Danio rerio: one gene and its partners. The protein of the gene in region 1 purifies or fractionates together with the protein of each later gene. This does not show direct contact. Links are inferred from orthologs where the notes say so. Each region holds a gene or a part of one and is shown on either strand. Other genes may lie near its edges. The genes, in order: atxn2, lsm12a and pabpc4.

What was found.
Region 2: the proteins of atxn2 (region 1) and lsm12a purify together in Homo sapiens (affinity purification with mass spectrometry; 4 studies listed by BioGRID and IntAct, with this or other methods). This does not show direct contact. The link is inferred for Danio rerio from reciprocal best matches to the Homo sapiens genes ATXN2 and LSM12.
Region 3: the proteins of atxn2 (region 1) and pabpc4 purify together in Homo sapiens (affinity purification with mass spectrometry; 4 studies listed by BioGRID and IntAct, with this or other methods). This does not show direct contact. The link is inferred for Danio rerio from reciprocal best matches to the Homo sapiens genes ATXN2 and PABPC4.

The regions. Positions count from the first base shown.
Region 1 is NC_133180.1:42,591,935-42,595,691, reverse strand, and holds the start of atxn2 (ataxin-2), read left to right. Parts: upstream 1-1,126; 5' UTR 1,127-1,514; coding exon 1,515-1,633; intron 1,634-3,510; coding exon 3,511-3,544; intron 3,545-3,757. UniProt on the Homo sapiens protein: Involved in EGFR trafficking, acting as negative regulator of endocytic EGFR internalization at the plasma membrane.
Region 2 is NC_133178.1:21,729,610-21,733,366, forward strand, and holds the start of lsm12a (protein LSM12 homolog B), read left to right. Parts: upstream 1-1,360; 5' UTR 1,361-1,368; coding exon 1,369-1,495; intron 1,496-3,757. UniProt on the Homo sapiens protein: Nicotinic acid adenine dinucleotide phosphate (NAADP) binding protein. Confers NAADP sensitivity to the two pore channel complex (TPCs) by acting as TPC accessory protein necessary for NAADP-evoked Ca(2+) release.
Region 3 is NC_133192.1:26,716,415-26,720,171, reverse strand, and holds the start of pabpc4 (polyadenylate-binding protein 4), read left to right. Parts: upstream 1-1,058; 5' UTR 1,059-1,240; coding exon 1,241-1,436; intron 1,437-3,757.

The DNA of each region.
Region 1 (3,757 bases):
CCTTAAGCAGACTATTGAAATGGTGGTTCTGTGGACCTTTTTACAGTTATTTAATTTCTAATAAATTATAAGGTTCAAATATGGCATTTTAAGTGACATTTTCAAGCACTAATCTTTGTTGGATTAGCTTTTCGGATGGTCATCAAAACCACAATCTTTGATGGAACAAAAATATTTCCTTTAATTTTGTCAGAAATGTTCACTATACTATTTTACCATGTGCATTTAAACTGTACGTTATTTACAGTTTTCTTTCGAACCACCCGAAGCACCCTGGCTACAGACCTGTACAAAGAATCTACATTTTTACATTATCAACTTTATTGTGTAAGATTTATAGGCATTTTTCCTTTTTTTTTCTTATCTAAATTATTTAGGTCCACATATGACAAGTTTATGAGTATTTGTGCATTCAGGTTAAAACCATTGACTTCTATTTTCTTTTTCCACTATTGAAGTTAATCGTTACAGATTTTTAGCTTTCTTCAAAATATCTTCTTTTCCTGAAGGTTTGAAACCAAATGAGGGCGAGTGAATTTTGAGTAAATTTTTATTTTTGGATGAACTATTCATGTAATTTCAAGTTAATTACATATTTTAAATCACAAAAAAAAAAAAAACTAAAACATACACAAAGAGGAAAATGAGTCAATGGAAAAACATTGTTTAGTTGACCATATTTAGATCAAGGGTTACATGAGGATAACGCTTTATTTAATAATTGCTTAAAATCTCAAAGCAGAGAGTAAAATAGTGTATATTAATTAGATTACTGTTTTAAATATTAAACTCGAAGAAATAAAACTAATCAGAACAACTAGGCCAAATAGAGCTTGAAGAATTTAACTGTATATATTTCACCACCAGTCACCTGGTCTAGCGCCAAAGCACACACGCACAAAGTGATCAGTGCATCTTCTGAAAATAGTGCGCTCGACATATGCGCATCATTCCTCAAATCTAACATTCATCCATTTCTAATATTATCTGAATAGTGTATTACGTTCTTAGAATATTTACAATAACTATTGACGATCATTTCTTCTGGAACCAATAAAACCATCAATAGGAGTACACACATTCCTGGGATGTGTATATATCCTTCCGCCACTTTTTGTGGCTTTTCAGACTGTTTAGGTCTATCGGTCAGTGCTGAAGCCCCGCGTGAACTGTGTATATCACTGAAAATACCGCACTAAAAATAACAAAATAGCGAAATTACCGGGTTGGTATTTTTGTAGACATCTAAAACATATGGGTCGTCCGCGCTTTGCTTTTAAAACGGGCTGAATTGTCTCTGTTTAGGAGGAATTAATCAGCAGAGCTAGCTGAAGTAGCAGGCAGCGTCAGTGGAGACTCGAGTAACTGGAGGAGCAGTTTTACACGTTGGCTGTCACTAGATCAACTGTCAGCTAACACGTCAAATAGCATTTTCCGCTCTCGTCCGCGGCATCAAACGTTTTTTTTCCAAACAGTCAGACAACTCTGCTCAAGCTGTCGTTTATGGGATCATCATGTCCATGAAGCCGCAGGCCGGTGGTAATCGCAAACCCGGCGGAAGCAACAGCGGAGCCGCTGCGGCCTCCGGTACCGGGGGAGCAGGAGGAGGCGTCGGACGCCAGAACATGGGCAGGTGGGTGACCAATCTGCATAACAGGCTTTTAATTCGGATGGACCGACGAGCGTGAACCAACACGGGAATGCGGCATGCCTGCACTAGTGTCGTAGTTTAAAAACGCAGGTTGTGGAGTTGCAGTGATCAGGATAGAGCGCAAGTAGGCCGATATAGGCCAAGTTCACAGGACAGGGATTCACAGGTTAATGGACGCAAACTACTGCGGTTATAAAATAACAGCTGATAGCGGACAACATGTTCGTGTATATTTCGAGAGGGGCGGGTTGTCTGCTGTGGGTGCTGGTCACGTTCAGGATGAATTGTGCGTCTTTGCCGGTGGGATATGGCTGTGCCAGCTTTTCCCAGGACAGATGCTTTTGTATCGTGTCGGAATCTGTTATAGGATTGAACGTGTTTGACATTTTAGTCACTTACAAAGAAATAATCTGAGAGTCATAACGTTACAGTGGGTATAGAAGCAAGTGTTAGCCTGCTAACTACTGTAGCAAACATTTATCTGCTCATACTGTCAGAAATCTGTCTAATTTAACAGGATTTAAAGTATGTTTTGTAGATTAACATCATTCAGGTTTTTGGTCATTATGTAATCGAGAGATCATAGTTTTTCTACAACGTTTTACCAATTGCTTCTGATTTGTGTCAGTCCAAACAAAAAAGGGTTGTTTGCTACAGATAACGTTACCTAGTTTTATGCTTTTATCTTCCCGTCAGCTGATTTGTAACCTCTTCTGAGGTGCCCCTGAATCGATGTTTTGGGAATTCATCATCCATTATGAGATGTCACATGTTAGCTCTCTGTTTGACTATTGACAATGACATTAACTCAGCGTCCGATTTAGATTTCTTGAATTCCGTTAGCTGAGGGCCACTAGGTCGAATCTGCGTGTTTCCCGTTACTTTTCGATTGATCCTTCATGTTGGAACTATCTGTCAGTCGCGTGCATTTCCGATGAGGGGCGGCGCGCGCGCTCACGAGGACAAGCGCTTAGTAGAGTGGAAAGTCAGAGAGCTGCACTCTCAACCTTGACGTTTACAAGAGGTTGCATGCATAAGTCTGTCCTTGCATAATGACGTTTGAGTAAGTATGTTGTGTAGAGGTGTGACAGACGAATGTTATTGTCGTGGTTTGTGTTGAGCTGTCATGAATGAAGAAATTAACAGTGGAAACTTTTAATCTAACAGCTGAGAATTGGCATCACATAGTTGCACACTGCATGGGGAAAATGTGATTATTGTTTACGCAAAACAACAAGAGTGATATGACTTGTACAAGATTGTGGGAATCTTGAGTGGTGCAGTGGAGCCTTTCACTGCCTGTAATGCAGCACTTGATTTGCAGCCTGGCTGTTGAAAAATAATTGTCATTCACAGCTTTTATCTTACTAATGTATTTTAATGTACTAGATGCTGATAGTTTTTGCCTAATCTTTGAGCACTGAACTTATTTTGCTGCACATTAGAGATCTTGTTGAAATTTTGTCCAACACATTGAAAGCTTTACAATTCAGAATCTGTCATATGTTTGAGGTATATGGCTGTTAGTGGATATGAGTCACGTACTGTCAGTAAAATGCAGATTTTCTTTTTAGAGTCTGTTGTTTGGGAACTACATAAGTGCTTCTTTGCACAATGAATTGCATGAAGCATATGATTATTTGTCACTCCTTTGTCATTACAGCTTTGAGTGTTTGCCAGTACATGTGCAATCGATAACCCTACTGGAATCACTTGAATTTGTGTTCGTAGGAGTGTGTGACTTTTTTTGCTCTTTAAACCGTGTGTACAGCATGTCAAAGATTTTCTGTGTATGCATATGGTTATAGTTCAACTGTTATAAAACTTCTCAGTCATGCTGTTTTCTCTCCTCCCAACAGAGGACGCAACAATGCCAAAGGACCCTCTACTGCAGTGAGTTTCGGCTTTTCTTTTTTTCATTTATTCATAGTGTAAATTTATTAAATTGATTCGCATACAAATTTATATTCCCTGTTGAATCATATATACAGTGCTCAGCTTAATTGAGTACACCCCGTTTCGAAAATAAATATTTTTATCCATTTCTCAGTAAATATAGGCAATGTAGTTTGGTGCATTTAAACAAAACAGGTTTATTAAACAGAT
Region 2 (3,757 bases), on another chromosome or scaffold:
TTGAAGTCAGAATTATTAAACCCACTGAATTATTAGCCCCCTTTTTATTTTGTTCCCCAATTTCTGTTTAACAGAGAGAGTTTTTCAACACATTTCTAATGATTATAGTTTTAATAACTCATCTCTAATAACTGATTAATTTTATCTTTGCCATGATGACAGCAAATAATATTTGACTAGACATTTTTCAAGACTCTTCTATACAGCTCAAAATGACATTTAAATGTTTGCTTATGTTAATTAGGTTAGCTAGGCAGGTTAGGGTAATTAGGCAAGTTGTTGTATAATGATGATTTGTTCTGTAGAATATCAAAAAAATATAGCTTAAAGGGGCTAATAATTTTCACCTTAACATGTTTTTTAAAAGATTAAAAACTGCTTTTATTCTAGCCAAAATAAAACAAATAAGACTTTCTCCAGAAAAAAAATATATTATCAGACATTCTGTGAAAATTTCCTTGCTCTGTTAAACATCATGTGGGAAATATTAAAAAAAAAAAAAAAAAACTCTAAGGGGGCTAATAAGTATGATTTCAACTATATATATATATATATATATATATATATATATATATATATATATTTTTTTTTTTTTTTTTTTTTCATATAAAAATGTTTGAGATAACCTTTTAATGTATTTAATGATGCATGTGGCACGTTTTTTTCTGCATAACACTAAATGTTAAAACAAAATAGCAAACCTAAAGGCTATATATATATATATATATATATATATATATATATATATATATATATATATATATATATATATATATATAATCTCAAAGAAAATAAATAAAATAAATGAACAAGTGTTTTAAAAATATCTAAACTTTTTAAATAAAAACTATTATCGCTATTATTTGACATTTTTTGTTCAAATATTTTTTTTATAAAAATATGACAATAATATTTTATTCTAAATACATAATATAAACAGCAAATAATTACTGTATTTTACTGTAAGTGATGCAAATAAATATTTTTCTGATTTAGACAAAAAGGCATAACAAATGGCTATGATAGCAGGTTTTCCCCACTGTTTCAAATTTCAGTCATTTTAAACAGACTTTTTCTGAAAGAGAAAAAAACACCTCATTCAGGTGCCAGAAGATAACCGCTGTCTCCCATATCATTTCAAAATACTCGTCCGAATAAAGCAGGAGGCGCGGATGAATGAGTGCTGTAGTAAATATATTCACGATCCACTACTCCATAGTAAAGTGGGCGTGACCTCGCTTGCGGCGGGTTTTTTTTGCGTCACTTCATTCATTCACACGCCACGCCCACCCACTCGCGCTCCCATCCCGTGCTGACGCGGCTGCGCGTGTTTACGTGCAGCGACTGCTCCGTTTCCTGGCGGAGAAGATGGCGGCTCCTGGACCAGGAGAGTATTTCAGCGTCGGGAGCCACGTCTCCTGCCTCACCTGCCTGGGGCAGCGCTTGCAAGGAGAGGTCGTCGCTTTCGACTACCCGTCCAAGATGCTGACGTTGAGTATCCTTTTGTCGTCGCGGCTTGTCATTGAATCGTCGGGATTCACAACTGTTAGAGGCCTGGTTTGTCAAAGAGGTTTGCTGCGGGGTGAAGTGAGTCCACCAGGCATTCGCTTCCGTGTTTCGCGCATGTCGAGTCAGGTGGTGCTCTTTTGGATCTGCGATTGGTTGCCACGTTTATAACTATGGCTTTTAGTTGATGGCCTGCAAATATTAGCACACATTTGGACTCGGGCGATAGGAAATGTAGATTTACTTTGATGTTTTTCAGCAATGTTGTGTTTTAGACGTCGTGTAAGAGCTTTTGTGTAGTTCTACTGGGTCCTCATGTTCAGAAAACACTCGAAAATGTCTGACAAGAATGCTGTAATGAATATTTCCTAACTTAGATGTTTTATAGATTGTTTGATTGCTGGTCGGTTTAGCTCGTGTGTATAAATTGTGCGGTTTTAACGCTCACAGAGACCACATGGAATTGACATTATTTTTGCTGCGGGGTTTTTGATTCATTCAAATGAGTCGAATCTTTTGAATCAACTCCCTTGTCGTTTCTGTAGATTCTGTTGTCATTGGTGGTAGCAGAGTGTGTATAAGTATTATTTATATTTCATAGTACGTATGCCACTTGCTCTTATATTAGTGTAATTGTCATTTTAATGTCACATAGTCGTCTATCATGTTTGCGAGTCCCTAAAGCTTCCCACATTAACACATGCAATACATTAAACTTACTGTTTGACATATTATTTTGTTGGAAAGACAACGAGATTGTGCACTGAGGTGAACTAGAATGATTCGTTTACATAAAAGATGCTCAACTTGACTCAGTCGACCGGGTCCACGAATCGTTTGCCTGATTCATTAACGAACATACAATGATATTAAACAGCTGTGGAAATAAGGCATGTAAATCCAGAAATGTCTGCAAAATTATTAAATCTAGCCCTATTTAGAAACCTATGGTGCTTGTCTCCTAAACAGGAGGGTTTGGCGCGTTTATTTCCAGCATCAGTCTTAGTCACTAATGGAGGTGAATGAGAGTGGACAGGCTGTCAAGCACACATTGCTGCTTTTCCCCGCACGCTTCTACGCATGCGTGCTCAGGGGGCGTCAGCTAGCTTGCCTTGAACGCTAACGTCTCTCTGCCTGACGTGCAGTAGTATGTGTAATGTGCACATCACAATTAGGCATTCTAGTTTGCGTTTTACATGCATCATTCTCTATTTTTATTATGGTTTTGGTCATGACGAGTGGTTTTCTTGCTAACCTGCTAATGTGCAGCCATTCATTTACATTAAGTCACTTCATGTCATACTATTTAATTTAGTCGTTTGTACTAACTTATATAGGGAGAAAATCTTATATAAATATACGTATAATATAAGCATTATATTTAATATTGTATTGTGAGATTACTCTTTCAGATGGTTGGCCTAGTCATGTATTTTATTGGTTTACACAAGTGATGATTAACCATCTTCACAAGTCTCTATTAACTGAATAGTTTTGACCAGACTGACATCTGTATATGTGGAGCTTTCCAGAATCAGTAAGGACAAGCTTCTATTTTATTCGTTTAACATGTAAACACACTCTTTGCAGCTCAGCAATTAAACAGACAAACAAATGGTTTCTCTGTTTGAGGGATTCGTCCCAACCTTCTGCATCAGGCCGTACTCACACTATGTACAGTTGCCTCGAACCGGGCCAAAGCACGCTTGTCCCCCCTCTCGTCTCCCCCGACGGCCCGCACTCACATACATCCGGGCCTGGGCACGCTTACATCATTGCTGCTGCGCTGTTCAGTGAGCGCTCTCGCTCAGCACAGTGGAGATTTCTCTAGTTATATTGTTTAAGTAGTATGATATGCAGTGTTATGCAGTCAAATATTTCGCCAAACTCTCCTTAGGGATGCGGTGACACGCAGTCAGATATTTCGCCGAACAGATCTGCCAACAGTCATGAAGTCCTCGTGCTGCAGGAATGAGGAGGTGTGCTGAAGGTGCTCAGCTGTCGTGCATTGAGGTGTCTGTGTATTTAATAAACTATGGCAGTTTGTGTTCATTGAACAGTAAGATTGATTAAAAAATCCATGAAACAGTCCCTTAAAGTCACGTCTTGCTTTCAGTTTTGGGCTTTGGCGCATTTTGCACTCACAAACGTACCGCGCCAAAGCCCAAGTTAACCATGCTCAGGCCCACCTCTTCCAACTGGGCCAGTGCCGGCCAAGTGTTCGGATAGCATAGTGCGATTAGGCCCTCAG
Region 3 (3,757 bases), on another chromosome or scaffold:
TTACTCTTATTTTATCTGCACTTTGGTGGTTACCCATTAAATACAGAATTGTAATCTTGCTCCTCAATACCTTACTGACTCGTTCTGTTTGTATTTCCCCTCTTATGATCTCAATTTACTCACCGTGCCTAGGACACGCCTTAAACTACATGATCAAGCATATTTTGCTGGTCCTAAAGTCTGGAACACTCTACCAATTCACATTAGACTTTTTTTTTTTTTCCCCCTCCATTTTTGTTTAAGTCATGTTTTAAAGACCTATCATTTTTTATTATTTTTTTTTTAAGCTTTTAATACTTCTTGATTATTGTTTTATTGCTTTTTTTTTTTTTTGTTTCTTTTATATTCTTTCTTCACTGCCTTTAGTACTCTTATGTACAGCACATTGGATGTTTTTAAATGTGCTTTATAATTAAATTTTGTACTATAATGTTTTAATTTCCAAGACCTGTGTGCATAATGAACTCTTCTGAACTTTTTTTTTTTTTTATTGTTAAAATAACAGTATTTACTATTTAGAATGGTTGATCCCTCTTTAAATAGGCAATTATTTAAACAATTCTATATTTTATGTGTAGTGTGAAAGCAATCTGAATATTTGCCATGATAAGGTTCAGTTGACCGTCCAGCTTCAACTGCAATGCTTTCACTATCATTCACATATTGTATGATTTTTTGTATGCACAGATGTTTTTGTTTATTTATTAGTTCTGTCAGGACGACTTTTATCAAAGTTAACTGTGCTGTACACCGCATGCTCGGGGCTCGTGTTTTTTCTGTTATCCCGACTGTGACCCTGCTCCTATTTCCTCCGCTCGAGCTATAAAGTGCTCGTGCGTTTCCCACGCACCCTCTTTCCCCGGCCACCACACCGTGAGTGTATAACTCACTGTTCTTCAGTACCTTTAAAAAAAGAAAAAAAAACATATAAAAAATACAAAATAACGAAAATCTCAAAAAATAACTACAAACCAAACAACGTTTTTTAAAGAAAAAACTTTTTTTGTTTTTTAAAAGACGAGGTCTCGATCTACCCAGTGGTTTTCTGCCAGTTCCTCCGACCGGACTCATATGCTGTAGCTGTCACTGCTGCCGAAATCGTTTATTCGGGGAGAAGCGTAAAAGTTTAATAGAGGATTAAGAGACTCATTTGTCCCACTGGTTCTCGGACACTCTTTACGCACTGTCATTTCAGCACTAGACAAACACACGGGCTCAGAGGCTTGATCGACCCCGAGACATGAACGCAGCGACCGCGGGGAGTTATCCGATGGCTTCTCTTTATGTGGGCGACCTGCACCCCGATATCACGGAGGCGATGCTGTATGAGAAATTCAGTCCGGCCGGCCCGGTGCTCTCCATCCGCGTGTGTCGGGATATGATCACGCGGCGCTCGCTGGGCTATGCCTACGTCAACTTCCAGCAGCCTGCGGACGGTAAGACACTACACACAGCACCCTTAAACAGGATCCCTATGGCTGTCGAATAACGGGAATATTCTGTCATGCTTTGTGTTTTACTGTAAGGGACACTGGAGGTGATGTGTAGTGCGCGCGCGCTGTCTCCTCCTGTCCTGTGTGCTGTCACATGTGTTTCTGAATTGCCCACATCATGTTGATCTTCACTCGTCTCTTCCTTAACATCCTTAAACATGCCCTAATATATTGCCTAGGTTTATCCCCTAATAAAGCTCATTGTGTGAAAGTCAGGGTTTACTGACTGTGACTGTCACACCGCATTATGCCCAGCTATTATGGCAAGCTGCTTTAACATTTAGCCCTTTAAATAGCCTACTATTCTGTTACGTTATTCGCCTGGTATTAAAATTATTATGTTAACACTATATTTCTCTTTTCAAAAAATAGTACCTGATTGTATTAGACTAATTATTTATATACTACTATTCACACTATTTCAAATAGCATTTGATAACTAATTCCATTGCTGTTAGTATACAATATTGCCATTTTGATCTTTGGGGATCAGTAGATCTAAATTTGTTATGTGATTATAACAGTAGGCCTATATTCCAAATGTTGGTAGATACCCATTGCAGTTTAAACCTCCATAAGGGTACATACTTTAGTTTATGATCTATACAGTAGTCACTAGGCTATTTGGTACCTGCATTTACAAGAATTTTACTTTTTATTTCTATTATATAATAAGAAAACAACAAATTTGAAAGTATTTCTCTGTTACTGTAATTTCGCATTAGTTGTTTTCTTAGTGTTTCACTAACTTAAACTTAAAACTTTCACTAACGTTAAACTTTTGTTATCAAGGTTATGACTGTAATTAAGACTTTCATTATGACTCTCCTCAATCTTGTAGTTTAAACTTTAGATAGCAACACAAAGGTCATAGGTTCGATTTCCAGGGAATTAATGAATTGGTGAAAAGTGCAAAGTGTGTACAGTAATGCCACAATAAATTTAAGTTGCTTAGGGTAAAAGTATCTGCTGAGGTAGGCTACTATTAATTACATCTTAATTACTTTTAAGCAGTACTTATGACTATCTTCAATAAATAGTTTGTAGAGGATGCAGGTAATAATGCCATATCATATAGGTTTGGTTTCCAAGGAATAATTGGACTAATAAATATCAATCAACTGATAATGATATTGGAATGCAATTAAGTTTTTTGGTGAAATGTCTGCCAAATGTATTCCAGTTTTACTATCAGTAGCCTTCTAGTAATTACAAGTAGACTAATTTCAGCATCTGAAGTTTTTATTCCCATAATCACTCTTGGCTTGCTGCCTCTGGGATTTGAATGGGACTAACAATGTGTATTTTAGAAAAGCGCCATTGAAATATGCTAAAATGAACAAATATTAATCAAACTTGCTATGCAAATAAAGCCTGTATCATTCCTGTTGTCTGGAAGTAATAATTAATAATACAAAGGTTATGAAGGATGGCATGTACATATGAATCATTTATACCATGCGGACCATTTATACCCAGTGGAGGACAGTGAGCTTGCTTAGTCTTGTCCAATCATGAAAAACATCTATGTGTAGAAAGCCATTTACACATTCTGTTCACATTTTGCCTGAAAAAATGATGATACAATTACTAAAGGTTTATTTAAAGCTTATCACTCTATAGAAGTGAGCAGTCTCAATTATTGCCTGTAAGCAGAATAAAGGATTAGATTAGAGTTGAATGTGACCCACATAGTGGAAGTGCCCTAAATCTACCTTAACCCTTATGGTATGAGGCATTTTACACAGAAAGGGAAGCTGATCATTAGGATCTTTCCATATTTGAGCTCTCTTAAGAACACTAGGTATATCCAGGGGAATGGTGTTTGTGTGTATGCGTGTGTGTTATCCCCTCCTGACACTTTAAATAGCACAAATAGGTCAAGTCAGGTTGCAAAATGTGGGCGAATACCATTGTGAAGAATCTTTATTTCACAATCTAAAAGTTCAAATGAGACAAGAATAAGTGTTATACAAGTGGCATATTTCACCAATTCTGTCATCATTTACTGACCCTCTGCTTGAGTTTACTTCTTATGGTAAAGACAAAAGAAGCTATTTTGAAGAATGTTGGTAACCGGTAGCCATTGAGTTCTATAGTGTTTTTTCTTACTATGGAAGATTGACCCTTTTCACATTTTCAGGTTTCTTAGTAGCGGAAGCCATCATAGGTGGAACAATTTTGAGCGCAGTGAATGGGAGAATAAAACAAATCTTTTTTTTTTACAATCTTATTTGCTCAATTAAAAGAAAAACTCCACGATG